Alligator mississippiensis: one gene and its partners. The protein of the gene in region 1 interacts with the protein of each later gene in a biochemical or structural test. Links are inferred from orthologs where the notes say so. Each region holds a gene or a part of one and is shown in the gene's direction. Other genes may lie near its edges. The genes, in order: histone H2A, PPM1D, mediator of DNA damage checkpoint protein 1-like and MAPK8.

Evidence for each region.
Region 2: of the proteins of histone H2A (region 1) and PPM1D, one has a biochemical effect on the other in vitro, tested with the Homo sapiens proteins (3 studies listed by BioGRID and IntAct). The link is inferred for Alligator mississippiensis from reciprocal best matches to the Homo sapiens genes H2AX and PPM1D.
Region 3: the proteins of histone H2A (region 1) and mediator of DNA damage checkpoint protein 1-like form a complex in vitro, tested with the Homo sapiens proteins (5 studies listed by BioGRID and IntAct, with this or other methods). The link is inferred for Alligator mississippiensis from reciprocal best matches to the Homo sapiens genes H2AX and MDC1.
Region 4: the proteins of histone H2A (region 1) and MAPK8 form a complex in vitro, tested with the Homo sapiens proteins (2 studies listed by BioGRID, with this or other methods). The link is inferred for Alligator mississippiensis from reciprocal best matches to the Homo sapiens genes H2AX and MAPK8.

What each region holds. Positions count from the first base shown.
Region 1 is NC_081839.1:35,289,133-35,295,562, reverse strand, and holds histone H2A, read left to right. Parts: upstream 1-4,410; 5' UTR 4,411-4,469; coding exon 4,470-4,892; 3' UTR 4,893-5,845; downstream 5,846-6,430. Other genes in the region: DPAGT1 (UDP-N-acetylglucosamine--dolichyl-phosphate N-acetylglucosaminephosphotransferase), read left to right, coding at 1-35, 1,094-1,181, 1,539-1,694, 2,462-2,527. UniProt on the Homo sapiens protein: Variant histone H2A which replaces conventional H2A in a subset of nucleosomes. Nucleosomes wrap and compact DNA into chromatin, limiting DNA accessibility to the cellular machineries which require DNA as a template.
Region 2 is NC_081837.1:4,651,855-4,659,991, reverse strand, and holds the start of PPM1D (protein phosphatase 1D), read left to right. Parts: upstream 1-4,987; 5' UTR 4,988-5,094; coding exon 5,095-5,491; intron 5,492-8,137. UniProt on the Homo sapiens protein: Involved in the negative regulation of p53 expression. Required for the relief of p53-dependent checkpoint mediated cell cycle arrest.
Region 3 is NC_081834.1:57,359,314-57,367,324, reverse strand, and holds the start of mediator of DNA damage checkpoint protein 1-like, read left to right. Parts: upstream 1-4,959; 5' UTR 4,960-5,043; coding exon 5,044-5,161; intron 5,162-6,226; coding exon 6,227-6,625; intron 6,626-8,011. UniProt on the Homo sapiens protein: Histone reader protein required for checkpoint-mediated cell cycle arrest in response to DNA damage within both the S phase and G2/M phases of the cell cycle.
Region 4 is NC_081829.1:21,154,767-21,162,286, forward strand, and holds the start of MAPK8 (mitogen-activated protein kinase 8), read left to right. Parts: upstream 1-4,449; 5' UTR 4,450-4,506; intron 4,507-7,520. UniProt on the Homo sapiens protein: Serine/threonine-protein kinase involved in various processes such as cell proliferation, differentiation, migration, transformation and programmed cell death.

The sequences.
Region 1 (6,430 bases):
CACATCATTCCTTGCCCCCGACATCGGCTGCCCAGGTAAGAAGCATGTAAGTGACTGAGAGTAAGAAGTAATGTGACAGTACCTGTGAGGCAGTTTGGTTCTGGCTTGGTGCTAGGGCTGACGCAGGTGGAATAGTCTCGGTGGAATCTTTGGAGGGTATTAATGGACATAATGTAGTCTGTGGTTGGGGGAGGGAGTGAAAATGGAGATGTAGCCCTTATTCACCAACTAGGATTGAGAAAGATACCAGAGCTGTGGAGAATTTTATTTGGTAATTACTACCTTTCCTTGTGGTCGGGAACAGCATAGCCATAAATTGAATAAATCTTGTGATTTTATGGTTGCTGTTTTCTGCAACGTTCACACTTTAATTTTGAAAAAATGAAAACACCTTTTTGTATGGCAAAAAGTTGAATGTCAAGGAACAAGTTGCTGCCCTGTCAAAGCAGTCTGGCAAACAACTCTCCAGCTGAATGCCTAGCATAAAAGCCCAAATTGCTCAATGTATAGCTACCTGATTCTCAGAGGGTACAAACTAGTGCCCTGATGAACGCTAGCAGAACTGTACTCCAATTTTATACCATCAAAAAGCTTAGGTTACCTATCAAGTTGAATTAAATACAGCTCTCGCCTAATACGGTTGAGTCATGGCATGTGGGTTTCTTTCTAGCCTCATTAAGAAATAATTTTACAGTCCTGCAAAGCTGGAGCTGTAACTCGAGTTGCTAACTAGTTCACATTTTTATTTTCCCAACCACATGGGTGAGGTTGAACTGTGGCTGCTTAGCTGAGAGGCTGTTCTAATGCAGTCTTCTGGCAGTTTTTGCAGCATAGATAGTCCCTACCTACACCATGCATGTTCTACCTTGCTTTTTGATCCATACAAGCTTCTGTAAAGTAGTAACAAAAAGGTTTCTCCCATTTCTGCCCCATGTGATGGGCTCGGGCTGCTGCACTGTCAGGACTGTCACATTCATAGAATTACTCCCACTTTCGGCACCACCTCCTTTTAGACCACTCCTATCTCTGCTTTATGCAGGGATTCAGTTGTCTCTTTTGGTATGATTGAAGTGCATTTTGCTGTTCCTTTCAGGTTAAATCCTGCTACAGGGAAACTGGAAATGAGCTACTTCAAATTTAAAACCAAGAGTCTCTCAACCCTGGGAGCATGCATTCTGAAGGTCAGTCAGCCGCTGTGATCTGAAGAAGGATAATACCTTTGTTTAGCCTGAGTCATTTCCTCCGAACAACATAGAACTTTAGTAAAAAAAACCAAACCAAAACAGGCCTCTTGTAGTCTGACCCCAATGCTTGATGCTCACATTTATTAGAATCCCTCCAAAATGAAGCTTAGCTGCATAAGGCCTGATTTAAACCTGTCCCTAGATCTGTTCCCTTGAATCAAACCCCAGGACTGGAACAGTAGAAGAGATCACTGACTAGGATGTATGGAAGAAATTTTTATCACATCCCTACCAGACCCTAACTAGCAAATATCTATTTCATCCAGTTAAGTGGTGGTTAAATTTCTTTCCCAGGTATCAGAGAGCTTGCGCATTGTAGATGTAAGACGGGGAGTGGATGAAGATGGAGAATACACAGAATGCAACAACATGACTATCATTAACTTTGTTATAAAGCTCATTGGACCAACCCCAGAGCAAACACTCACCATCCTGCTGCTACTCATCCAGGTCAGGCAAATGGTCTTTTGGATAGAAAAGCCTGCTCCCTAATACAGGGCTGTCCAACTGATGTCCCACAGGTTGCATGCAGGCTTCTCTTCCCCCTGCTGTCCCCCATCCTCTCCCAACCCCCCAAATCACTCCTGCTGCTATGGTCAGGATCTCTGAGCTCTCCCTCTTTCCCCTCCAGCTTGTGTCTTGCCTTCACTCCCGGGGGCTGGGCAGAGAGAGCTGTGTAGAATGGCCTGGGCTGCCTGTGCGGCTGGAGGGAGAGGAGCTGAGCTGCCCATGCTGCATGCAGCCCATAGGGATCTGTGGTGCCCCCAGGGTCCAGAAGTTGGACTGCCCTATTCTAATAGATAGCACATTCAAAGCAGAATATTCTGGTTTAAGGGACATTTGAATTCCCCCTAGCTTTGTCTTATGTCTCATGTCTCCCTTTCCATTCCTCTACTTCCTGGGTTGCTCCCCACCTCTGCATGAAATGGTAAAGACCTGACAAGCATCTCTGTTGCCTATTCCAACTCTGTATGTATGCACACAGGCTATCCTCTCCCCTCTGTGACTCCATTACAAAGATCCTCTCTAAAGAGCACTGCAAGGAACTCTCATCACCCATCATGCCCCCCTCCACACACATACAAATAGCACCATTTCTAATTAAGTTGTCTCGCTTAGGCAGACCACGTGCTTAAGTCCCAAATGCTTTCCAGAGGGCTAGGCACTGTCCAAGTGGCAGTCAACTCACCATTGCAATTTTTTTTTCTTCTTTCTAGGTTCTGGGAAGCACAATTGCATTTCTGATCAGATACCAGCTAGTGCGCTTATTCTACGATGTCTGACAGATGTCAGGAGAAAGGGAAGTGCCAGCTCCTCTTAATCAGTCCCTTATTTTCTCTGGTTCTGATCCAGATGGCTGAAATGGTCCTGTGTTGGCCCTGGACATCTCAGGACTGCCTTCCAGATGCTAGGAAAGACTCTGGGACACAAATCTAATTTTTTTTGTTTGTTTGTTTCCTCCTTGGTTGGAAACAGCAGGAATTTGACAGATTCTGCTGTTAAAGTTATATAAGCATCATTACTTCCTAGACCTCCTAATGAGTGGGACTAACCTGCATGTGCAAAGACATAAGTATGATCTGAGTCTTCTGGCCAAGATGATGGGGTAGAGGTAGAGGAGGATCAGCCATAGTTCCTTTCATCTTGTGAAATACATTGTTTTGCCTGAAATATGCAAAGGATAAACCTGCAACAATGCCTGCAATCTCTTCTGAACTCTACATACCGGACAGTCCTCTCCAGTTTCATCTTTCTGCCACAGATACGGAATAATCCACTTTTCAGCCTATCTACAACTCAGAAACAAGATATTCAGGTCGTGTAATCTGACTACAGAATAGCTTCCCATTCCTCTCTGCCACAGGGATAAAATGTTGAAACACAATTAAACGATATCAATTATACATTGCTATGACACCCTCTTATAGAGAATGGTCATTTCTATTGCAGCATCTGTTCTCCCACTTTTCATTGTTGCTGACATTTTTTCCTGCTGAAGGGTCATGCAGTTTCCCTAACCTACATTGCTCTATGACCCATGGCACCTCTAGCACCAAAATACCCACACTTTCACATGTCTCATCAATTATAAAAACAAAAAACACCTTCCGCCTATTTGTGCATTAGCAGCCATCAGACCCCCTGGTCCTAATGGTTTTCCCTTCGTTCAAATAATTCATTTTCACATTGCACTTTTTTCAGCACGACGGTGCTTTACAGTTATTATTTATACAGGGAAAATAATGTCATTCAAATGACAAAGCATTAGAACAACTGAAGTGAAATAAAACTGTACGGGAACCGACTCACTCAATCGGACTTTATTTAGGACACCAGTGTTAACATCCCTGTTGTACTGTCCTTATGACTTGAACTGAATTATAAGGAGTGATTATAGCCTCAGGCTACCACGGTCCGTTTAAAATGAAAATAAATCTCGGGGGACTTTTCCCCCAGCTTTCACGGCCTCCTTTCCCGTGTTGTGCATAAGCCGTGCGTCTCCCGGGGGCTGGGCAGTGTCACCACAGCGTGCGCCCGCTGAGCCCTGGGCCAGCCGAGGCTCCTGGATACTCGAGCTAATGCGGGCTATAGGACACGGGCTATCAACCGCTCCTGAGCCGGGCAGGGTCCGCTGCCCTGCCCAAAGCACGAGCACAGCGTTGGCGAGAAACGGTTCCCCGAGGGGAGGGGAGGGCAGAACTACCCGGGGTGCTCGGGGGCCCTCCTGCTGGAGAAGCGCAGCTCCAGCAAGGAGCCCTGCCTGCTCGAGCGGGCGGGAGCGCCAGGCACCGGGCCCCGAAGGAGCAGGGGCGGCGCTTCGTGCACCCAAACCAGGCCCCAACGCCGCGGGCTCCGAGCCGGCTCGCGGGGGGAGCCGCCCCGCGCGGGGCCGCGCCAGACACTCACCCTGAGGCGGCCGCGGGGCGGGGAGAGGAGGGGCTTGCCGCGCCGGCCGCTAAAGCGGAAATGGCCGTGCGCTCTTCGCGGTTTGAATTTGGCGCCCTGCTTTGCCATTGGCTCACAGAAGCAGCCAATGAGAGCCCGGCCGGATCTCAACGGTGCCCAATAAGCCAGCGCGCCCATTCTGCGCGGCCAATCGCAGCGCGGGCGGCCGCGTCGGCCAATGGGGCGAGAGCGGCGGCGGAGCGGAGTCTACAAGGGAGCGCGCAGCGCAGCTGGACCCAGTCTGCGCCGGAGCCTGGCTCGGTGACGCCCGCAGGCGCCATGTCCGGCCGCGGCAAGAGCGGCGGCAAGGCCCGCGCCAAAGCCAAGTCGCGCTCGTCGCGCGCGGGGCTGCAATTCCCCGTGGGCCGCGTGCACCGCCTGCTGCGGCGCGGGCACTACGCGGAGCGCGTGGGCGCCGGCGCGCCCGTCTACCTGGCGGCCGTGCTGGAGTACCTGACGGCAGAAATCCTGGAGCTGGCGGGCAACGCGGCGCGCGACAACAAGAAGACGCGCATCATCCCGCGGCACCTGCAGCTGGCCGTGCGCAACGACGAGGAGCTCAACAAGCTGCTGGGCGGCGTCACCATCGCGCAGGGCGGCGTGCTGCCCAACATCCAGGCCGTGCTGCTGCCCAAGAAGGCGGGCGGCGGCCCGGCCAAGGCCGGCAAGAAGAGCGGCGCCCAGCAGTCGCAGGAGTACTAGCGCTCCCGCTCCTCACCCCCCACAACGGCCCTTTTCAGGGCCACCCACCCGGCCGGAGAAAGAGCTGCGGATCCGCGGGGGGACCTGCCCCGTTACGCGCGGTTCGGCGGGGCCGCGACGCGTGGTAACGTCGCCGGAGCTTGGCGCAAAAGCTTTGCTCAAAGCAGGTTTCGGGGCCGCGCTGCAGCCGCTTGCGACCGCCCCAGGCGGCGGGAGGGCGGAAAGGAATCGCTCTGCCCGCGGCCACAGGCCAGCACTGAGCGCCCGGACCACGGGGTGCTGTCGGCTCGGGGTCGGGGCCGCGACTGCCGTGAAAAACGCCCACAACTTGCTTTCCTTTGTCTGTTCATGTTGCCAAGAAGAAAGCTCACACCCCCCAGGAGCCTTTGTCTTGAGTGGCCAGCTGGAAAACATCTCTAAGCCTAGCTCAATTTCTGCAGTGAGCAACATTTGTCCTCTATGACAAAGATGCGGTACCCAGGAGCCTCACTGTTCCCGCGTCCCCCAGCCGGAGCAAATTCTAGGTATGGCTACAGGCTCCATTGGCAGAACAGCCCCCATTAGACTGACTGCAGCCAAACTCCAGGCTTCACCTCTGCACGTGGCAGATGTCAGATATTCTCTTCTCTAACAGCGTACAGTGAAGAAGCAGCCTGCTAAAAAAACAAAGCCACTCATATAGCAGTTTTCAGTGTAATAAGGATCATCTTACAGGATTTCCTGGGCTTATCTGTTTCTATTGATTGGATTTAGGCAAGGAAGTCAAACTTGTTCTGCTCTAAAGAGAATCCAGGATAAGCCTCACATTCAGCTTCTCCCTTAATTTGTATAGCACTTATCACCATTCCAAGCTTCTTCTTATATTCTTCTGTTACCTGAAAACAGTACAGAGTGTGTTCTTTGTATATAGAGGCTTGCCCTACTGGTTGATTAAACTCCCATTTTGTATATGCTTTAGTTGTCCTTGTAGTTTGTTTTCTGATTTGCACATAGCTCAAGCAGTTTCCAGACAGAAAGCATTCATCATGTGAAGGGTTTATTTGGACCTACCACTTGGCTAGAAACAGTGTAAATGTCAACCCTCCTTCTGAGGAAAGGCATCTTAAATGAACATAAATTAGAACTTTTTTAGGCTATTCAGTGGTTGTTACATTCAGTGGATATTGCACAGATGTAAACAATTAACTTTCACTTGCAGAGCAGGATTCCTGTACAATGCAATGTAAATGTTTCTAGAAGGCACTGGTGCGTTCTGGAGCAGATGCAGACTCACCAGTGGAAAGTACAGTCCCATCTGTGGTCTTTATAGAAGGAACTGGCAACTAAATCTGGAAAGATTAGTAAAGTTCAACTTGTGTGTATTCTCAAGTCTAAACTTTCTACTGACTTTTAATTTAGAAGCTAACTTCCTGATGTTGAACTTCAACATAAACGTGCCCCGTTCCTGACTGACTGATTCTATCTGGCAACAGGTTACCAAATGGTTTTCAAATACAATTAAATTGGTGCCTGTTGCAGTTAAGTCAATAATCAAAATC
Region 2 (8,137 bases), on another chromosome or scaffold:
CAGATCCCAAAGCATGTGCTGCAGACAGTGGATCCAGCATGGGGGGTTTGGGGGTGTGGTGGCGCCTCATGTGAATTGTGAGGGCTACGCAATAAGGCTTCATCCAACCAACATCTCTGTCAGGACCCTTTTCTCTCTTTATATCCCCACACCCTTTGTATACTGGCTTATTATGTCTTTGGTAGTTTCCTGTTTCTGGCCGAGTTGGACAGAGCTTTGTAGATCTCTAGAGTAAATGCAAGAGTAAACTGACAAGTAAGGATGTTCTTTAGTTTGCTGCATAATCTTCAACAGTTCCACTCCCATATATTTTTAAGTATTTGTTCTAGCTGTGTCCAGTTACACAACAAAACCACACCCACTCTAATTTGGTTAAATACTAGTTTCTATGGTGCAATGCCCTGATTGTAAGCTAATAGCAATGGGCAGAGAGCATTTGAGCTGCATGTAACTTCCTTCTGAATTGTCAGACATTGCATTCCATTGGAAGCACAAAATGACATTGATGTCAAAAAGGAGGGAGAAAAAGAAGCATCTTGGAATTTGTCAATCACCTTTTCATCCTCAGCAATCAGGGCTCGCGGTAGAGGTGATATCTTTTATTAGACCAACAGGTTTTTGCAAAAAAAGTTCTTTAATTGCAAGCTTTTGGGCTTTTCATCCTCAGGGAATTGTTTTACCCTTTGACTTTTCCCTATTTCTGTTATCACAAGTATAAAAGTATATATAAAGCGCACCAGCGGTGGGCTCTGTTTGTGCCTTTGCCCATGACTTGCTCCCTTTCTGTTAAACGTTTTGGAAAGCACCATCTCTACTTAATAATCATTTTTACTTAATAACATCCTCTGTTCCTACTCCACATATGAAACTGCAGTATTTCATTACTGATTTTTCACAGGTGTTTTGAGACTTTAATTGTTCCTCTGGTGAAACAGACCCTGATGGTATTATTAGCCTGTCAGTTTGTTGTCACTCACTCCAAGTCAGGAGTACTGTTTTCTGGCTGCACCCTGATAATAAGATCTATTTCCCCACCACAGTGTCAGTAGTGATGGACTTAGTTATCCTTATAAAGGAATATCAACTTTGCAATTGTTTGGTTGCATTTATCTGTTAACCAAAAAAAAAAAAAAAAAAAAGGAAATAGTGATGTATTGAGTTTTCCAGATAGTAGAAAATTTTTCCAGGTTAGTCTTTGCCTGCCTTGTTTTGTTTTGAATATGATATGATTTTTAAGCAATTTTATACGAGGTGGTCATGAAGACGTATTCTCTGCAAGTTAAAGCAGAAGGACTTCTGGGTGCTGTCTTGGACCGATCACACTAACATGTGATCTTTTGTACATAAATATAATGGCTCATTGTCTATATACCCAGCTGGAAAATACGGAGAAAATTCATCTAACCAATTCCGTGTAGATTACTTTGTTAACATTTTGTAATGTGTTTTGAGATGCTCAGATTCTATAGAAGTTTCAAATATTATTGACACGTTGCCTATCTTCATAGCAAGCGGCTTTCATCCTATTAAAGAATTAAAAACAAGAATTATGAACTACGTACGGTGCATCTGCCAAGGAATTAGTCATCTCCATTTTACTGATATCGGAAATATTACTTGCAGGCAAGCTCTTTTAATTCAACAATATTGACAGCATGCCTGGCACATCAAGGTGCTACAGGACTACAAAGTGATAGCAAGGTATAAATATACAAGTATCTAGCACAGTTGAAGAACTCTTTCCAGCAGGGAACATATCTTATTCTGTATTTTATAACCATTGGTGTAAACCCCGCTCCAACAGCTCTAGCAATCCTTGGGAACCTACAGTGCAAAGGCCCTTGAATGAATTCTTGATGTGAAAAGGGGTATTAGTCAGGCTTCAAATAAGAGGAAAGGTAAAGGCATCAGAGATTGAAGGGGGAGGTGTTTAGGATGCATGTAGGAAAGGGTAAATGATGGGTCACTCACGTAAAAGTGGTGGTTAGAATTCTATTTGAATAATGTTGCTTCCCATCTGAAAAGGACATGAACAGTTGTGGCACTAAAACAGTTGTGGCAAAATAATATTTGAATCTTCTATGGCAAAATAATATTTTAATCTTCTAGATTTACAGAAGGGACCTTGCAAAGTCATCGACTCCCTTCTCCTATTCCAAGGCAGGATCAAATATATGAATGCCATTCTTGACAGATATTAGTCTAGCCTCGTCTTTAAAACCTTAATTGAGGACATTTTCACAAATGCCCTTGGCAATTTATTTCATTGCTTGTCTTTCTTTATGGTTAGAAAGATTTTCCTGTTGAAATTTTAGCCCATTACCTTGTGGGTATAGAGAATAGTTTATAACCTTCCTTTTTACAGGACCTTTTATATATTTGAAAATTGCCGTTACATCTCTCCTAAGTCTTTAAACTAAAGAAACCCAAATTTTTGGATCCCAGTTTCTGTTTTTCCCCCCTAGGTCTGAGGATTTTTCTCTCTCCTTTCCAATCAGTCCATGTTTTTTTTTAAGTATGGTGCCCGTATCAAGACTCAATACTCCAGCTGACTCTTACCAGTGTTGAATAAAGTGAAAAGACACACGTGGTGCATCTACACATTCATTAATGCACCATAATTACGGCACGTTAAGTTTAGTACCTGTAATTACAGGTACTACCTTAATGCCTGTAATCAGCGCCACTGCGTATTAGCTGTGGCGCACACTTTTTTTGGTGATGCTAATGTGCAGTAGACTAATTCTACTGCGCATTCGGACAGATTTTGCCTGCCACACTAACGTGTAGTAGAATTAGTCTGCTGCGCTCTAAGCTCTTACTTCAGCTTGAACAACCCGATACTCTGTGCTTTCCCTCCCAGCAATATAAGATGCAGTAGCTGACTCAGTTTGTGATTCACACTATCATTCTTCTGCTGCTTAGTCAGTCCTTCCCTTTTTTGTATTTGTCCAGTGGATCATTCTACCGAAGCCTAATACTTTGCACTTATCCTTAGTGCATTTCACCCTCTTCATTTAAAATAAGTTCTCCAACTTGTCAGAATCACTTTGTAATCTAACCCTGTTCTGTACAGTGCTTGCAGCTCCTCCCTGCTTTGTGTCATCTGCAGATGTAACAAGTACGCTCCAAACCCCACTCATGCATGTCGTTAATGAAAAGACTGAGGAGTGCAGGTCCCCAGACAAACACTCCAAGACCTCTCCCAAGCCATCCTTCCAGCAAACCATTTACAATTCTTACATCCTCTATGGGGGCAGAGGGTTGGGACTGAGGGGCACTGGGTCGGACCTGGCCATTGATGTTTTCAAATGCGTCTTGGTACAAACAAGGTTGAGAACCACTGTTCCAGACCAGTGTTATTCAACCCGTGGGTTGTGACTCCAAAGTGGGTCACAAGCTTGAACGCTGTGTGCCTCCGGAGGCTGGGGGGGCATGGCAAGCTCGGGGTGGTGGTAGCAGTGGCGGCAACGAGTGGGGATCTCCCGCAGGCGGTAATGTCAGCAGTGGGCTGAGTGGGGAGCTCCTGCAGGCGGTGGCAGTGTCGGTGGTGAGCTGAGCGGGGAGCCCCTGTGGGTGGTGGCAGTGTTGGTGGTGAGCCGAGCGGGGAGCTCCCACAGGCGGCGGTGTCGGTGGTGGGTTGAGTGGGGAGTTCCCGCAGGCAGCGGTAGTGTCAGTGGTGGGCTGAGTGGGGAGCTCCCGCAGGTGGTGGTGTCAGTGGTGGGCCAAGTGGGGAGCTCCTGCAGGTGGTGGCAGTGTCGGCAGTGGCTGAGTGGGGAGCTCCTGCAGGTGGTGGCAGTGTCGGCGGTGGCTGAGTGGGGAGCTCCTGCAGGTGGTGGCGGTGTCGGCGGTGGCTGAGTGGGGAGCTCCCGCAGGTGGTGGTGTCAGTGGTGGGCCAAGTGGGGAGCTCCTGCAGGTGGTGGCAGTGTCGGCGGTGGCCGAGTGGGGAGCTCCTGCAGGTGGTGGCAGTGTCGGCGGTGGCCAAGTGGGGAGCTCCTGCAGGTGGTGGCAGTGTCGGCGGTGGCCGAGTGGGGAGCTCCTGCAGGTGGTGGCAGTGTCGGCGGTGGCCGAGTGGGGAGCTCCTGCAGGTGGTGGCGGTGTCGGCGGTGGCCGAGTGGGGAGCTCCTGCAGGTGGTGGCGGTGTCGGCGGTGGCCGAGTGGGGAGCTCCTGCAGGTGGTGGCAGTGTCGGCGGTGGCCGAGTGGGGAGCTCCTGCAGGTGGTGGCAGTGTCGGCGGTGGCCGAGTGGGGAGCTCCTGCAGGTGGTGGCGGTGTCGGCGGTGGCTGAGTGGGGAGCTCCAGCAGGTGGTGGCGGTGTCGGCGGTGGCCGAGTGGGGAGCTCCTGCAGGTGGTGGCGGTGTCGGCGGTGGCCGAGTGGGGAGCTCCTGCAGGTGGTGGCGGTGTCGGCGGTGGCCGAGTGGGGAGCTCCTGCAGGTGGTGGCGGTGTCGGCGGTGGCTGAGTGGGGAGCTCTGGCAGGCGGTGGTGTTGGTGCTGAGCTGAGTGGGGAGCTGCGGCAGGCATTAGTGTTGGCAGTGGGCTGAGTGGGGAGCCCCCATGGGCGGTGGCAGTGTCGGTGCTGAGCCGAGTGGGGAGCCCCCGCGGGTGGTGGCCGTGTGGGTGGTGAGCCGGGGGGGGGGAGGTCCGGCAGGCGGCGGTGGCCGAGCGGGGCGGTCCCGCAGGTGTCTGCGGTGTGGGCAGTGGGGGTGAGCCAAGCGGGGCGCTCCCGCAGGCGTCCGCGACAGCGTGTGGAGGGTGGGAGGCGTGGACCAGCGGTGGGCGCCCCCCGCGGCAGCGGCAGCGGCGCTGAGGGGCTGGCCGGGAGTGGGGAGCGGTGCCGGCCCCGGGCGCTGTTGTCGGGGGCGCAGCGCCGCACGAAAGGGTGGCGAGCCGAGTTGACAAAGGGGTGCCTGCGGGGCGGGGCGGGGCGCGAGGCGGGGCGGGGCGGGGCGGGGCAGGCGGGCGGGTTCCGGCGGGTTGTGACGGAGCGGCTGGGCTGGGCTCGGCTGGGCTCGGCGCGGCGGGGGGCGGTCGATCGGTTGGTGGGTCTGTCTGTCTGTCGGTCGGACATGCCCGAGCGGCGCCTCCCGCACGAACAATGGTGAGCGGCCGGCGGGAGGAGGACGGCGGCGGCGGCGGCGGCCCGGCTTCCCCGCGCCCCATGGAGGCGCCGTTCGCGCTGGCGGTGAGCGTGTTCTCGGAGCAGGGCGGCAGGAAGTACATGGAGGACGTGACCCAGATCGTGGTGGAGCCGGAGCCGGAGCCCGAGGAGGAGGCGGCGGCGGCGGCGGGCGAGGCCAGGCCCCGGCGCTCCGCGGCCTTCTTCGCCGTGTGCGACGGGCACGGCGGGCGGGAGGCGGCCCAGTTCGCCCGCGAGAACCTGTGGGGCTTCATCACCCGGCAGAAGGGCTTCTGCTCCGCCGAGCCGGCCGAGGTGTGCGCGGCCCTGCGCAAGGGCTTCGTCGCCTGCCACCGGGCCATGTGGAAGAAGCTGCGTGAGTCGCGTCTGCCTCCCCTTCCCCTTCCCCAAGCCCTCTCCCGCGGGCCCAGCTCCCCCGCTGCTCCGGGGCCCCTTCCCTTCCCAAACAGCCTCCCTCCATCCCTCCCTTCCTGGCTGCTGCGGGGTGGGCTGCCCCCTGCAAGCGTCCAGACACAACGCCTTTGATCAGAGCAACCAGTGTTGGCTCGGGGCGGATTCAGGGCAGGGGTCTCATGGGGGAGCTGGGATTCATCTGGTCAACAACACAAGTTGGGGGGGCTCTATGTGAAGCAGCACAGGTTTCTTCCCCCCCTGAAACGTCATTGAAAGAAGGGGGAGCTTTTATGCTGGGTCGATTTCTACATGATAATGAAACAAGAGATGTTTGGGGTGAGGTTTTGTAAGCAGAGCCCTTTGTCAGCTTATAAGGTGCAAATCTCCCCCGCCTTTGCCCGGATGCAGATAACTCGGTCTGCTTTCTGATCCGGGTCTGCACTGGCCGCTGTCTGCGGTTCGGCCCGTCCGGTGCCGACGGAAGAATTCAAAACATAGGCTGATGCTGGACGATGGTGATTGATGATGATTTTGACCAGCTGGAAACAGGCCACGCACCCCTGGAAACGTACAGTGCAGTCCCTGAGGACTGTAGAGGCTGGCTGGTTAAATTCATTGTGGCCCAAGTAAGGATCCTGAAAGGGAGAGTTTGACAGGACCAGGATGCATGTTATCCTCCCTCCTGTTCGTATCTTCGACATCATCAGAGCACCTTATTGACTAACGTGTTAGGCCTAAATTCAGACCAACGCTGCTAGCTACCTCTCTGTTCGCTTCCTGGAAGTAAGGCTACAAAAAATGAGCTTTTAAAAATACCTTAAATATGTTGGTTGTGGCTTTTTTTATTTAATTTGGTTCCATACAACAGCTTGGGGCACGAAGACTAGCAGGCAGAGCAGTGTCCACCATGAGACCGCGTCAAAGGTGCAGGCTTGAATCCTGAAGGCCGGATCTGGCAGGCAGTGATAAAAAGTTAACGATTCAAGGAAAGCAGAGTTATTTGGAGAGGCAGTGACTGAAGCAACAGTTGAAATCTTTCGCGAAGACACTTAGTCCAAATCAAGGCTGTTTAGGGGTCAAGTAAATACCTGGAAGAGCCTAGAGGGAGAGATTGGTAGAGTAGGAGCAGGGATTAGAGGGGAGACAAACTGGCTCTTGGGTTAGAGAGGAGGCGATGGCAGGGTGTTTTTTGCTTTGTTTTTAAGAAGTGTCCTGGAGAAAGTGGGAGAGCTTGTTCACAGATGTGATGGTGGGGAGTGACGTGACTTCACCCCAGACCTGGGGCCTTTGTGATGTGATAGTGTCATAATGAACCTAGAGGAAGTGGAGGGAGAGGGTTTGGGGAAGAAAGATTATGAGTTTGGTTTTCTAGTCTATGGTAACCATGTCTGGTTGTCACTGCAAAAATAAAAAGCCAACAAACATGCTGTTGATTGGAAATACTATTTGTATTGGTGTGTAGGGAGCAACACAACTTTTGTTATGTAAGTCTCAAACTGTTGCTAGAGGACTGCAAAACTAGAGCTCTGACTGCTTGATGACTCTGTCTGAGTTCTGCCGTAAAGTTTCCTCCCTGATTTCTGTATTGCGTGCAGCCATGCACGATTTGGCAGCAGGTGCAATCCCTTTTTTTAACTGGATAAAATATTAAAAACTGATGTTGTCATGTCATTTCTGTTACTTGGATACTGAAGAGAGGGGCTCATTAGTTGGGTTAGTCTGAATGTTGCATCCTCCCAGACTGCTGTTGTTAATTGTGTGTTGACAACATGATGGAAGGTAGAAGAAGGGTGTATGTTTTATGTTTGCCCTTTCACACCATCTGATGAAGTGAGCTCTAGCTCACAAAAGCTCTTTATACATCTAGTCTGTAAGTGGCAGATCTACCCTGCTTTCTGTCTGATTTCAGACCAGCATGGCTAACTATATCTCTCTGCTTATACATTTTGCAATCTGAAGATGGACAAGAGGCAGTTACGATTTGGGATGGGAACATACTGATGTGGTTTTTCTTTATCCTTGTGGACAAGCTAAGTAAGGATTTCTGCGTGGAAGAGGGTAGTAACTAGCTGTCGTATAATTTCTTGGAGGCTGCCAGGATTTTCAGTAGCTTTGGTCCAATGATGGCAGCGCTTGGATGTTTCTGCTATGGTGATCAGACGAGCATTAGTTACACAATTGCCATTATTTTTTTAGTCTTAGCTCAGTCGGTATGAATAAAAAACAATGAGGAACCTTTGCTGCTGTTTCAGGTTGGCTAAATGTTTTCAACACATGATGATGTATAAGTTCATTTTCTTGGAGACTGTCCTCCCAGCTAATAAGGCTAGAACGATACTTAAAAGAAGACTACTAGTGAGGTTTCAAATTCAACAAGAGGGCTAAGAGCCATTTCCAGTAGAGCCGAGTTACAGCACACACAGTCCCTTGGTGTGGATTACTATATATGCTTCTCAAGTAGAGATGCCTTCAGAATAAATATCACATTCAAAGCCATTTTTATTTTTCAGTTTTTCTTATTATACTTTAGATCAGGGGTCAGCAACCTATGGCCCGTGGAGCTGTTTGATCCTGGCCAGGGGCATGAGGATGCATTGGTGGGGGAAAC
Region 3 (8,011 bases), on another chromosome or scaffold:
GTTCCTGCCATGACCCCAGCCCTGGCCCATATTGTTATTATAGGACCTACAAGAAGCCCCAGCCCCACCCCCACACCCCTCCTTTTTGTAGAGCCTACTCAGCCCTGCCCCTGAACCTCCTTGTTCTGATAGGCCCTAACCTCCCCCTGCCAGCACACAGCCCCCTGGTTACAGGCCCTTCCAAAGCTGCCTAAGCCCCCTTGTTGTTATAGGTCCTATCAGAATTCACCCAGCTGCTTATATAGGCCCCACCAAACCTCCAGCCCAGCTCCTTGTTATTACAGACTCTACCCCCGTCCCCCCCAGCCCTATTATAGTGTAGCAGGTCAGGGAACCAGGGGTGGCTGTGATGCCCCCTGGTGGCTCTGTGACCATGCCCTGTTTGACTTCTAGGGCATGCCCCCTATCTTTCCTGCCACACCTTTACGGATTATAAATAAATATAAAGGGAGGCTGGCCATGGACCATTGCACGCCCCCGGTCGTACTGGCCTCAAACCTGTGGCTGGGCCTTTATATTCTCAGGCCCTTGGCTAGGCCCCTGCAATCAACTGTGCCTGGCAGGGCACTTAAAGCCTTATGGGTTAATTGCGTGGCTCCGAATTGTCCTTTTACCACGCCCAATGCCTCTCGGCTGTTATTGGTATACTAGCCAATTGCTCACCAAGAATGACAGGGTGGAGGTCAGGTGAGGGCGAAGCATCGTCCCTTCCCCTCCTGGTGCTGGCAGGGAGGGCTGGGGGTGGGGGGGTACATGCTCCCCTCTTCTCCCTGCTCCCCTGTTCCACTATGGCGAAACATGCACACGCGCGCGCGCACACACACACACACACACACACACACAGAGGCGCATACTACTGTCACTTACTCTCTGCACATTGACACACAGAAACAAACACGCTATCTCCTGCCATGAATAGACGCACGCACACACAGGTATGCACGTGCATGCATGCACATAGTGGTGACTCCTAGGGAGTGCATGGGGGTGCACATGCACTCCCTGAGAGCAAAAGTGCACCCCCTGACCATCCATGCTTGCCACTTAGGCGATGGGCAGGGGGGGCAGACAGGAGCGTTGGTGCCCCCGCTGTAAGCGCCAGCTGGGGTGGGGAGTGCTGTGGTGGTGCTCCCAGAAGTGGCCACAGCCAGTTATGGAAGGGGCCACAGTGATCGGTTGGTGGGACAACCCACTGTCAGTGAGATTGGCTGGACACAGACACGCATGTACACACAAAGGGAGAAAAAGAATTTTGTGGGGGGAGCTGCATGTGCCCACGGGAAAGTCTGTGGGGGGAGGGGAAAGCATGTGGATGGGGTGGCTGGGGCTGGGGCTGGGACCAGGCAGGCATTGGGACAGAGCAGAGCTGGGCCTGGGCTTGGGGCCCATTGCGCCCGTGCAGCTGCCCCTTCCCCCATGCCCGGGGTCATTGCCCAGCACCGGTGGCCCCTGATAAACAGCCACCCCTAGCCCCACACCAGCCCCGGACTGCCTTGGGCCCAGGGCAGGCACCAAGATGAAAAAAGGTTGAGTACGTTAAAAACTAGAAAAAGTAGAGTTGTGTGCCTGGTGCCTAGAGTGGTGATCTTCTCTTCTTTCGTTTGGAGAAATGGAGAGTTGAGTACAGTTTTATCTGAGGAAGTTCCTAAATGTCCCAATGTTGGTTCTCCATTGGGGAACTCTTCTTCAAGGCCAAATATTGGTTCTAGCTAGAGGGGGTGGGGAGGCTTTTCAAGGAAGGGCCCCAAGCTGGAGAAACAAAAGGTCTTCTGGGTGTGAGAAAAGTAGGCTGGGAGAAGGGCATGGGGATGTGTGGACTCCATTTTCTTCCTTCACAGGCACTGCCCTGACGAGACTCAAATGAACCACAGTGGAAGGGTTGAAACAGTCCTGGCAGGACTAGAGAAAGTCTCCCCACCTTTGAAGACCCACCTCCATGTTAAGGTGGATGGTACTGATGAGTTACTTCTCAGTTGGCTTCTTCTGGAGAGGTTTCCTTCAGGTCTGCCCAGCTGGTTGGCAAGGGTACCTTGGAAAGCACTCAAAGTCTTGGAAGAATTCCTTGTTGCCTGACCTAGGGAATGAACTGCTCTTTCCCCACCCAAAATGGAGATGATGATGAAGCTGTCAGAGGGCCTATCTTCCCTCTTTCTCCTTGGAGAGCCCAATTCCTTGGTGCCCATGTAACCAGAGTGGCTTCTGCTGGGGTAGTAGCTTCCCTGGGGAGTCTGTATCTATTTATTTTGTGGGGTCCAGCACCTTGCTCTACCATGCAGGTGCCTCCCCTTGCGTTTTGAGTTGGCTTTTAGTCCCCCAAACCTTGCCCTACAGTGAAAAATGTACCCAGGGGAGAAGACAAAGACCATCTTCAGGCTACTGAGAGCAAACCAAGCAAAAAAAGACGGGTGCTCCTAGGCCAACCCAGTCAGCTCTGTTTCCTTGGAGAGAAAGAGAAGAGCCATGGGGTATTGAGGGTCTCCAAAGACTTCTTCTCTGGCCAACAACTTTGAGGAGAGGGGGTAGAGTGGGGCTGGGGTCTTCTTCCCTTGTTCACCCCCAATGGAAGGTCCAGGGGGGGAAAGGAAAAGGCTGTGATCTGGTTACAGGGGGAAGCCTAGGAAATGCCACCAGTGTCTAGTGGCACCGTGGAAGAGTTGGGCCAGGCCCTGCCATCCCACAACCCAGCTTCCAGGCTCCAGACAGCCCTGTTCCAGGCAACTTCTCAGCCCTGATGAACTCAACAGACCAGCTTGGCCCTGGAGGAAGAGATTGGGGAAGCCAGGGAAGCAGTGGCCATGGTGCCGTGACCACACCCTGTGGGTTCCCCCACCCCTGGCACTAGCACAAAGCTGACAGCCTCCATGCCCATCCTGTCTTTCTTTCTCCTTCTGTCTGCTCTGCTCTGTTTTATTTTTTTCCCCTAACAGCTTTTCTCATATTGAAAAGATGGCATCTTGTGAAAGCATAAAAACAGGAAATTTTTTTAAAGTAGGTTCTGTTGTGGCCTCAGTCCACTGGGGGTGGGAATCCTGGAAACATGGGTTCTCTGTATGGGTCTTGCATTTGAGAAGTCTGCATGGTTACTTGCCCACATTGGACATCTGGGCTCCCTGAATCTGTCTGTCTGTGTGTACTGGATACTTGGGTCCTCTGTGTGCAGGCCCTGGATACCTTGGAGGGAGGGGGACGGTATCAAAAGCCATTTGGGAGTGCATGGCAGACACTTGGGTGGGCCCCAGACACAGGTTCCAGGGAGGGAGTGTGCACCCACGGGCCCTGGACACCTGGGCTCTCTGGGAGGGTCCAGATGCTTGGGTTCTCTGTGAGGGGTAGGTGGGAGCAGGGGGCGGTGAAATCCCAGACACCTGGTTTCTCAGGGGGAAGGGAGCAGTGGGGGGCTGGTGGCCTGGACATCTGGGTCCTGGGCACCTGGAAGGGGGCAGTGTTGGACACAGGATCTGTGCGGGGGGAGGGGGGGCTGTTCTCCCGGACACCTGGGTTCTGAGTAGGCGCCTACCTGGGTACCCTGAACCGCGGGCTTCTGCGTTTCCTTCCGTCTGTCCCGAATACCTGGGTACTGGATGCCTGCGTCCCAGACACGTGGGCAGAAGGGCTCCCTCCGGCTCATCTGGAAAGGGAGAGAAGCCCCGGGTGAGGCAGAGGTAGGGCCAGAGCCACCCTTGAGGGAGGGGGGGAGGGAGACACCCAAGTGTCCCAGCTCTCGGGGCCATCATAGAGGACATTCTGGTTTTCTTCAAGACAAAAATATAGGATAAGAAGGCGTCCGGTTGTGTATCAATAGAGGACACCCGGACTGTCCTCTATGTTGGCCACCCTACCGGGCTCCCAGCTTCCCCCTGCTCTCGTTCCCCAGCCCCCACCCCCGCCCAGAGATCCCAGGCATCCCTCTGGGCTGTTACCCCGCACCCCCTTAGCTCCCTCTTCCCCTGCTGAGGACCCCGAGTCCATGCTCTCAGCTCCGCCTGCCCCACAACTCCCCCAGCCCACAAAGGGCCCAGGTGTCCGGGCTCCCAACCCCCCGGCTCTTGGCCCTGCCCGCCCTGCGATTGACACCTGGGTTCTCTGGGGGGGTGGGGGGGTGTCCCCTGGTGAGCATGGGGGGCTGGTAGGTGAGCTGGAAGCAGCCGTGGCCCCAGGCCTGGATGGTTGGGGGCAGCCCCTGGCCAGTAGGCTGCCTAGCAACACTGGAATGACCCTCGTGTCTCCTAGCAACACTGGGACACAACACAGGATACACAGGGCAGCCCTAGTTAGCAGCCTGTTGCTTGGCAACACCAGATGTCCCTGAGATGCCCCTTCATGGTACCCAGGGCAGCCCTAGTAACCAGACTGTTGCCTGGCAATGCCAGATGCCCCTTCACAGTAACAGGGCCTCTGGGGCAGCTCCAGTGGGGTCGGGCTCGGCCCAGGTGCTGCTCAGAGGCCCAGGCTTCCTCAGTGGCTAAAAATGGTGCAAAGTGAGGTCATTCTCATTAATGAATGTGGGGATAATGAGGAAAAAGACACTCTGGAGGACCAAATGTGTATATTCTAGCTTTCCCTCTCTATGGCCAGGCGGCGGCCATTTTGTGGCAGGCGAAGGCAGTCACTCTACCCGCCCACCCTTGTGCTTAATGTCCCTGGGCGTGCTGCATGAGGTATCTTTATGGTCACTGGTGTGGTAGGAGTGCTAGGGCGCCATGTTGGGGAGGACCCCGTGTGGACATTCTAGCCCGCTATCTCCGCACTCTATGCTGCACACTGGCCTCCATGTTGTGGAGGACCGCAGAGAGCTAGGCACTCTAGCTCATCGCAGCCCGCCTCTCTATGGTCCCATGGAGCCTCTCTAGGCAGCCACGTCCGGGCTCCGTGGCTCCAGCGCCCGGGCGCGGGGCCCTGGCAGGGGTGGGCGGCGAGTCCCGGCTCCCACCAGGGGGCGGGAACGGGGGGGGATCGAGGGCCACGCCCCCGAACTAGGGATTGGGTCAAAGGTCAGGGGCGGGGCGAGGTGGCGGGGGCTCAGGGCACGGCACGGCCCGGGCCATGGAGCAGACGCAGCTGCTGCAGTGGGAGGAGGAGCAGGAGGACGAGGCCCCCGCGGACCCCGGGCGCCCCGTGGGGAGGCTGCGGGTGCTGGGGGGCCGCCACGGCCCGGAGAGAGGTAGGAGCCCCGATGTCCGTTGGGCGCAGGCGTGCGGGGGCGGGAAGGGACGCCCAGTCCAGTCCAGTCCAGCCCAGCCCCTGCTCCCAGCAGGACCAGCCCCAACTAGACCGTCTCAGCCGGGTCTTAAACATCTCCAGGGATGGAGACTCCACCGCCTCGTCCCCAGGACCCCTTGCTGCACCTGGAGCCCCTCGCTCCTTGTCCTGTCGTCTGCCCCCACTGAGCACCAGCCGGCTCCACCCTCCTTGCAGCCCCCCTGCAGGGAGTTGAGGGCTGCTGTCAAATCCCCCCCCTTGGTCTTTTCTCCTCTAGACTCAATGAGCCCAGTTCCCTCCGCCTCTCCTCGCAGGCTGTGCGCCCCAGCCTCCCAGCCGTTTTCATCGGCCTCCGCTGGACTCTCTCCAGCTTGTCCACATCCTTGCTGGAGTGGGGGGCCACAACTGGACACGGTTTTGGACTGGTGCCAGGGGTGGGGACCCCGCTATACGAGGAACCCGGCACCTGGGGGTAACCCCACTGCCTGAGGAAGCTGGTGTCCAGGGTGATTCATGACAAAGGCATTATTTCCTGGGGTTCAAGCCCATTCCAGCTGGGGCCAGATGTGGGGCTCATGTCCCCAGGGGAGAGCCTGCCGAACGGCTGGGTTCCCTGGGAGGGGAGAGGAGGGGGGCTGGATCCTCTGGGAGAGGAGCGGGGGCAGGTGGATTAGACCAGGGAGGGGCTGGGAGCTGAGATGCCTGCGTTTTATGGGAGAGGAGTGGTGCACACGCATGCACACGTATGTGTGGTTGGGCAGTAGAAGGGGGTTGGGAGCCTGGGTCCTCTCCCAGCACTGGGAGGAGAGTTGGGGCCTGGTCAGCTAGACCAAGGGGTTTGGCAACCCGGACACTTAGGTTCTCTGGAAAAGAGTCTGTGTTGTGAGGGCTGCGGGAGTGTCCATCTGTGCAAGTGAGCATCCCAGATGCTTGGGTTGAGTGTGCATACACGTGCATGTGTGTATGCACTGGCAGGGGTGGGAGTCTGGACCCTTCCCAGACACCTGGGCTTTCCCTTCACTCGCAGACATCTGGATCTACCCTGGTGAGAACGTGGTCGGACGTCTCCCCAGCTGCCCCGTGCACCTGCCGGTGCCCTCCGTGTCCAAGCTGCATGCAGTGATTGAAGCACCAAGGCCTGGGCCTGGATACCCACACCTGCTCTGGGACCGTGGCAGTCTCAATCGCACGCGGCGCGGCCGTGCCGTGCTCCAGCCCCACGTCCGCTACGCTCTGGCCCATGGCGACACCCTGCTGTTTGGCGACGTGGGCTGCCAGTACTTCCTGCTGCCCCCTGGGGAATCTGCAGCCTCCCCCCTGCACTGTCTGACCGTGGAGGAGACACCAACCCCATGCAGGCGTAGGATGGGTGCTGGGGCCCAGTTGGCTCAGGAGTCAGAGGTGAAGAAAAAAAGATGGCGTGGAGGTGAGTGGCAGGTTTTTCTAGGGTCTACAGTAACAAAGTGGATGGTGGTGGGGGTTACTGTAGGCCCTATAAACAACAAGGGAGCTGTGGGGAGGTTTGATAGAGTCCATTATAACATGAGGGATGGGGGGGGATTTTAGTAGGGCCTGTAGGAGGAGGGCTGGCAGGGGTGGTGGTGGAGTCCATAACAACAAGGGCTGGGTGGGTGGGTTGGTAGGGCCTATACAAGGAGCTGGGTGCATTCTGGTAGGACCTATAACAACAAGGGGGCTTTGGAGGCTTTGGTAGGGCCTGTAACAACAGGGAGCTCCCTGGTGTGTGTGTGGGGGGGGAGGAAGGGAGATGGTTGTAGGCCCTACAATAAGACGATGGCTGTGGGCGGGGCTGAGGCTGGTACTTCTTGAAGGTCCTATCATAACAAAGGGGCTAGGGCTGGCGTTGTGGCAGTGTAATAAGTGGGCCAGTCCAGGGCGTGTAAACATTGGCCCGCTCACTTGTCCTGGGCAGTCCACCCACCTGCCTCCCCTGCCGCACTTTTGATGTCTTTGTTTTTCCCAGGTGGGAGGCTACCCATTTCATTGCCAAGGGCGCATACACAGCTTTGAGCCTTCCCTTGTATCCCATGCCTCGTAGCTGACATTCACAAATGCTCCTGACTCCCTTGCTGAGCTGTACCACCTGGCGTCACCCGGTCTAGAAATCCCTGGGCCTCCACCTTGCAGCCCTCACTCCCTGGGCCCCCGGAGCCTCAACACCCGGCTCCTTAGTGAGCCTCAGGCCTCACTTAGTGTACCTAGGCTGCATCCAGGCCCCCTTCTCATGGCCTGGACCCCACCTCAGGCTCCACACAGTGGGCCTTGGCCCTGCACATTTCTGTTGGGGTGTGCTCCCCTAGCCTTTTCCCTCCACAGGGTCACCCACACGGCAGCAGGGGCTGAGGCTTTCTGGCACCTCATACTCGCGCTTCACTGGGGAGGCACAAGTGTGGCAATTCTTAGAAGTTGCCCCACTGCACCATCCTCCTCAGCAGGGCATAGTTTTAAGCTCTAGGAACCTCCTCCATCCCTAGTCCCTGCTCTGTACCTCCAAGCTGTTCCAGGAACAGAAGCTGGCTGGGTGACATTGCTCCTTCAGCCCCTGCAGCAATTGCTTGTATTGCTCTGGGGCCTTGCCTTATACCCAGGCTCTCCACCAATCAGGCAGCCTTCTGTCTGACATGTGACCACCTGCTTGGGCCTACTCCCACCTGCGGGCTGTTTGCTCAAACCCCTGTGGGTGACAGGCACACCCTGTGCTCCGTCACAGCTAGGCCCTATAATAACTTGGGAACCAGGGCTGAGGTTAAGGCTGGTTTGGGGGGGCCCTAGTTGGAGCCAGGGAGGGGAC
Region 4 (7,520 bases), on another chromosome or scaffold:
TACTTCTGTGATTCTATGATCTGCTGGTTCTCTTGTACAGTAAAACAGGGAGGCTGATTAAGCTGAAAAGACCTTTCAGGGTTTGTAACCATCTTAAAGAGAATCAAATAGTTACCAGAGAAGATCATCAGTCATATATTTGTAGCCTGGGCGGTACTCCAAGATGTACCCCCTCTCCAATTGAAGGGATCAGAGCAGGTGCACGAGTGCTGTGGGAGTTATAGGGACCCTCCTTCCCCTATAGAGCAGAGCCAGATCTCCAATGGGTACTTAACCATATATTTTTTAATGGGAAAAACAGTAGTGGGATCATAACATGTATAAACCAGGGGGTACAGGGGGCACTACAATGCCCCAAGGGGGCGGGATTCAATAAAGGTTAGGCATTTACATTCATAGACATATTCATCAAGTTGACAAAAGACAGGTTTAACAAAGTATAAAACACAAACAGCACAACAAACAATACTGGTTGGTGAAATATAAAATGCACAAAATACAAAACATCAAATAACAAGAGACAGAGGGCATAGGTATCTGGAGGGGGGGAAGAGGGAAAACACAATGACCCCCTCCACTGTGACAAAAAATCTCACTTTCACTTCACTCATTCCAGCTGAGACACGAACTCAGATTTTCCACATGATAGGCAGAAACCATATCACACAGTCACCAGTACTAGAACTAATCCAAGCTGCTAGGGGTTTTGACCTTTCAGGAGCCCCTGTGTCATGTCAAGCTGCCCTGCCTCTGGCTGGAGGAGCTGGAAGCAGAGCTGGGAACCTCTCGGGCCACTGCTCAGCTTCTTGCTGGAGCTGGGGAACCTCTCCTGTTGGCTGCAGCCTCTTGTAGGGGGATCCTGGAGCCCAGCAGGGAGCCTTTCTTGCCAGCTGCATGCCGCACTGCTGAGGGTCCAACTGCTGCCTGCAGCTCCCACTCCTTCAGGTTCTTCTGGGGCAACTGCTCCCACCCCGCTGGCCCAGCTCTTGCCAGCTCTTTGAAACTCCTTCCTTGTGGTCCCTCACTAGTCTTCCCAAGTCAGCTGCACTGCCCCTTTTATCCCCCCCCAGGTGACCCGAGGGGCCAGTCAGGGGACATGGAGGGGGAGTCTCTGGGGCCTGATTGGTGAGGAAAGGGACTCCCAAGCTCTCCAATCATTTCTTACCCTTTCAAAACCCCTGGGCCAAATCACTACCAGCTAGGCTGTCACATATTGGTACCCAGACACCACTTGAGCAGAGAAAAATGTGGACCTGAGGGGGTGAGCCAGAGGGTTTGGAATTATGCTACCAGAAGTCAAAGTCCTAAAAAAACGGCATCAGCCTATTCTGTGGAATCTCAATCTGATCACATGAACAAAGGCACTGGTGACTTCAAGTTTCATTAGGATGGCACAGAGCAGGGGTGTTAAATATGTGGACCCTGGGCTGAATCTGACCTGCAGAGCTCCATAATCCAGCTCCCAGTGCTGCCCTGTTGACCTACATGCTGTACTGGACTTGCCCTGAGCCACATGCAGTGCTTGCTGGGACTGGGTCCCTGGCTACACCACTCACAGCACTCATTGGGGCTGGTTGCAGGGTGCACTGCAGGCAGCAGTCACATGGGCTGCCATCGCAGGCCACTCTGAGTGCCACACGTGCTGGATCAGACATGTGGGAGGGGGGATGGGGGTCTGTGGGCCTGATCCAGCCCAGGAACCAGCCCTGTTCCGCTAATCTAGCCCACACAGACAGATACATTTGATGACCCTGTCATAGAGGGTCAAATAGCCAATGTGTGGTACATTTGGTGATACTGCAATAACTTGTATGATGAGATAACTTTACTGAATTTAACAAAAGGAAATCTGGCCTTGTAGAGAAGTAACTACTCATCTCCAAGAAAGTTGTCAATCAAAGTTTTTGTCACAGACTTCTTTCTTTCCAGTTGATATGACTTGCAGCTGCTAAACAATATCCTAAGCTCTGATGTTCCTACAAGAAAGGCAATCAATGAAATGGCATAGAGAATGTTGGAAGACCAAAGAAAGAAATTAGCTGAGTCAAGTACTGACACCTAAAGACCTTGATACTTTTGTACGGAAGCAGGCACTGAAGATTAACAATGGTAACATATTGGATGCAAAAGAACTAGAAATCTTTAGTTCCAAAAAAACTCCAGACATCACAGTTAAGTGACAATATGCCAAATAACAGGCACTGAAATAATAAAAGCATCAAAGGTCAGAGGTGTCAAAGTAATTAAAGAAGGCTAGAAGCGGAGGAAAATTATTTGGGTGAATACTGAAGCACTGGCAGATACTATTTAGGGCAGGCCTCCGAAAATGTTATTTTGTTCTTTGAATGCAACTCAACAGAAAGGCAGAGTGGGAGTGGATTGAAAGTCTAAGCTGAATTCAGAAAAGGATACTTGTTTCAAAAGGAACTGGACAGGAAAACCAAAGAGCACCTGTAGTAAGGACTGTCTACCGCTGGCTTCAGTCCAGAAAGAACTGTCTGAAATGTTTCACAGGCAGGAATTAAACATAGGATGCAGGTCATACAGTGTCGCCAGATGCCTCATTCACATTGCAACTGGCCATCCTACAAGCACAAAAGTAAGGAAGGGGGAAAAGAGCAGCAGATAAACATACTGATCTTTTGTCAGGCTCTGGAGTAGTAGACATACACACTGACATGGATCTAGAATTTTGAAAAGGGCGGTGCAGATGGTGAGGTGCATTATTACATATAAAACAACACACATTTTTCTCCATTTAAGAAGGAACTAGAAGCTTTACTAATATGCTAGGGGCCTAGGGCTGTTTTACTCAGGTTAAGATGGAAGCAAAAACAAATATAATTTTGTTGGAATGAGTTAAAAACAATTTGCAGGTCTGTGAAATATGAGCCTCATTACCAGGAGCAGCTAGTTGACAGCAGAATTGCAGAACAGAGGATGATTGATGGAACATCCAGGCCATTAAAAAGAAGAGAAGGGCATTAATATCTGTGGCATGAAGAGTTTAGCAGGGATCAGGTAGGTTATAATGAGTCATAAAATCAAGTGAGTCCCTCAGCACTTCCTGACTCAAAATGCTGCTGTCACTGCCAGGCAGTTGGTTTTAACCTTTGGGTGGAATAGGAATTTGGAGTGCGGGGTTGTCTGTGTACCAGTGCACCTCTGCCTGGATCCACCCCTGCATACTGAACAGGAGCTATACCCTGACTAGTGATGAGAGAAAACCCTGGTCCCTGAAAGAACACAGGACTGGAAGGGGCCTTTCAAGCCCAGTCTGTTGCATTTGCAAGCAACCATTTACCCAAGGATTCTCTCAAATCTTTGCTTTAAACCCTCACACACAACTACAAGGCACAAGACTAAAGCCTGAAGCATGGGTGACTGGTGCCTCCTGAGTCGGGGGGGCACCCGCAGCCAATCGCCCGCCTGTGTCCCCCGGTGTGTTGCCTATGGTCCCAAGAGCACCATAGCACGCAGCTGGTAAAAGCAGAGAAGATGGGACTTTGCTACTGCCCTGCCAAAGCAATGAGGGAATGCATACACACACAAATCCCAGGAAGAGAATCCTTGAGAACAGAGGAGAGCAAAGCCCCATGCTACAGAGAAGAGCAAAGTCTGCACAGGTCTCCTCAGCCTGACCAAGGGGAAAACTTCATTCCCACTCAGATGTGGCAACCGGGATGGCCCTGAGCTAGGGTGGCCATTCGTCTGGTTTTGTAGAGGGCGGTCCAGTTTTCTGGTCCTCTGTCCTCGATATGAAACCGGATGCCTTTGTGTCCTCTATTCTTTCACCTCTCGGCACCCCCCCACCACCAACATGGTTGTGGCTGCCCGTGGGAGCTCCCCGCTCACTGTCACCACTGTGCACCCCCAGCCGTGCGAGGCATATGACTGTTCATGGTGGCGGGGACAAAATGCAGCTGTCCTCTGTTCTTGAGGTACCCCGACAGCCACCCTGCCCTGAGCAGCCAGCAACCCTTGTAGCAGGGCTCGAGCTTCCCAGATGGGCAGGAGCAGCCCTAGGTGTGGCTCTTTCCAGGCCGGGGAAACCTTCTTCCAGGGGGCAGCAGCTTTCCAGAGGGAAAACAGCCCTTCTGGTCCCTGCAGATGACCCGCAAGGCCTTGAGGCAGGCCCCGGGCTGCCACATCCCGATGCATAAAGTCCAGAGCGGGGGGAAGGGAGGGATTTATAAATGCGCATTTCACGCCTCTCTCTGCTTCGTTGCAGGCCTCCCTGTCCTGGGAGCGCCGCTCCCACCGAACAACCCCGCACAAAAGGCGGCCTGGGGCCACTGCCGGGGCCGGGGCCGGGGCCGGAGCCGGAGCCGCAGCAGGTCGCGGAGGCGTGTCCAGCCCCTGCCGGGCGGGGCCGTCGTGAGCGCTGCGGTCGCGGGGCGTGGGGGGCGGGGCCTGGGCCGCGGGGGCGGGGCGTGCCCGGCGCAGGGGGGCGGGGCGTGCGTGTGCGCCTGCGCGGCTCGTTAGTCGGCGGCGGCGGTGGGAGAGGTGAGTGCGGGCGCGCGGGCGGGTGGGCGTGGGCCGCGGCGGGTGGGGGGGACCCCCGGGCGGCGGCTCGGCCGCTTTGTTTATGTTTTGCTGTGGGGGGAGGGGCCGGAGCCGGCCCCGGCCCCGGCCCCGGCCCCCGTGAGGTGGGGGCGGGGCCGCCGGAGCCGGATCCCGAGCGCATCCCCGCGCGGGGGAGCGATGCGGGCGCGGGGCCCTTTGTTGTGGTGCCCGCTGCGGTGCGCGCCGAGGCCGGCGGCTGCAGCAGCCTGAAGCCGGTGACATCTGTAGTTCAGGCCGCGCCGTAGCTCTCGGTCGTGTCCCCCTCCCCCCCGCGATACCGGCGCGCTGAGAGCTGCGGCGGAGCTTGGCCGCCGTGTGGGGGCTTTGCATCTTCCTCTCGGTGACGCGCTGCAGCGTTTCCCTGCCGCCGGCTGCCCTGAGCATCTCCCCGCTCTCCGGCCTCTGATTTCACCGGTTCGGGGGGGGGTTCTGCTTTGGGGGTTCCGGGACCAGCTTCAAATGTGAACGCCGCTTGCCCCGTTTCTCTCTGACGGGGGGGCCGCGGGCGGGGTTACTTTGAGTGTTATATCCTAGAGAACATCCAGACCAGACTAGCACAGACGTTTCCCAGCCTGCCCCAAAAACATCTTCTAGCTTGGCCTGATCATGGGGTAACCAACCGTAGGTTATTTTATAAAGGAAAACGATTAATTGCCCTGGGAAAAGTGTCTGATCTGTGTTTTGCTACAGCCTGCTTTTTTGTAGAGGCATACAGATTACTAGTAGCAATAGGGCAAAAGATAGTTTCACTTTCACAGTGAAGTAAGTATGACATGGTGAGGCAGGTGTTTGGAAAGTGGCCTTTGCCTTGGTTTGTTTTGCATCCATCAGCTGGTATACCCTCCTTTCACTAATATGTTTTAAATGACTCCAAAGGTAGCCTGAAGGGAGGGAGGTCAAACTGCTGCTTAAGGTTGCCATCGAAGTGAATTTGTTGGCTGTTTCATGGATAAGTATATAGATGAAATAAATTGCGTACCTGTATGCTACAAAGTATGTAATAGCTACTGAACTGAAAGTGTTGCTGAAAGTGATTCATTTTAATTTCTTGAGGCAACCATTTTGATTTATTTGCAAGGGGATTCAGATAGGTGACACATTTCAAATTCCTGTCGGTCTAGGGCAGGAATCCTTGACCTTTTTAGTCAGGGCATCCCTCCAGAGCTACTGAGTATAGCAGCATGTCCAGCTGCGAACCTTTGTTGTGTTCATCTTGCCTCAGTTCCTAACCGGGTGCTGCTGCTGCCAAATAAAAGGGCCCTTTGCAGCTGCTGGGTAGCCAGACTGGGAAGGGCTGTGGCACATGCAGATGCTCCTCCTGCTTTCAGGTTCTCCATTAACACTAAAGCAGACAATAGAGGTGGTTCATGCTGCAGTTCTTCCCAGTCCGATTGGGTACAGCATCTCCTGGAAGTAGAGACCTGTGGAGAGATGGACCTGGCCTATGCGTCTCTTTCCAGGAGGAGCATGGGGGGCAGAAGTAGACTGGGAAGAGAGTTATCAGAGCGCCCTAAGGCAGGAAGAGTGCTTCTATTACAGCCTGGCATGCAAGGCAGTTTTACCAACTGCTGTGGCAGCAGAGACTGCATCACAGCACCCCTGAGGGGGTCTTGCAGCACTCTGGATAAGAACCACTATTCTAGCATGTAGGACGGGGTGGGCAAAATGCAGCCCGGGGGCCAGATGCAGCCCACCAGGCCCTTCTATTTGACCTGCAGGGCCCCTAAGAAACTTAGAAAATTAATATTTATCTGCCCCTGGCTGCCTATCATGATGGCGCCAAAACTCAGTAAGCGGCCCTCCGCCCAGAATAATTGCCCGCCCCTGATGTAGGACCACACAGCATTCCATGTGTGTTTGTTTTCTTTAAATAATGTCAAACACTTTTACTAGAAAGTAGCAATTTGATGAACCTATTGCCTGCATTATTTTTATTGTACCACTTTTTATGTTGGTGCCCACCCTAATTTAAACGTGGAAACAATGAGCAGGGTGAAGTGGCATGCATGGAGCATGTGTCTGTGGTGGTGGTTGGATTGTGAATGGAGCATAGGAGTATGTCACTTGGCAAAGGAGTTAGATATTCTAGGAAAAATATTTCATTCTGAAACAGAGATGTGTGGCGGAAAATTTTCCAGTGCTTTATTTTTCTGTGGGACATTTTCCATTTCTAAAAATTCATGATTTCATAAAATTCATTAGTAACAATGAATGGATGCCAATACCATATTAGGCAAGCTTGGCAGTTTCAAAGTTGTAATTAATGGTTTTTCAGGTGATTATCCCTAGGAAGTATGTGAGAGAGCGCACACATGTTTTATTGATTTGTAAACAGGAGGGTAAATACACTCACATAACAATCCAAATAAAAAATCAAGTTATAGATTCATGGATCTTAGGTTCGGAAGGGACCTCAGTAGGTCATTGAGTCTGACCCCCTGCCCTGGGCAGGAAAGAGTGCTGGGTTTAGATGACCCCAGCTAGGTGATTGTCCAGTCTCCTCTTGAAGACCCCCAAGGTAGGGGAGAGCACCATCTCCCTTGGAAGCCCATTCCAGATTCTGACAATCCTTACTGTGAAGATCTTTCTAATGTCCAACCCAAATCTGCTCTCTGTCAATTTGTGGCCATTGTTCCTAGTGACTCCAGGGGGTGCCCTAGTAAACAGAGCATCTCCTATTCCCTGCTGCCCTCCCCTGATGAATTTATAGGCAGCCACACAATCACCTCTCAACCTTCTCTTGCGAAGGCTGAAGAGATCTAAGTCCCTCAGTCTCTCCTCGTAGGTCCTTGCCTGCAGGCCTATAACCATACGAGTGGCCCTCCTCTGAACCCTCTCAAAATTCTCCGCATCCCTCTTAAAATGCCGCGCCCAAAACTGGGCACAGTACTGTACTCCAACTGTGCATGACCAGTGCCGCATAGAAGGGAAGCATCACTTCCCTGGACCTGTTC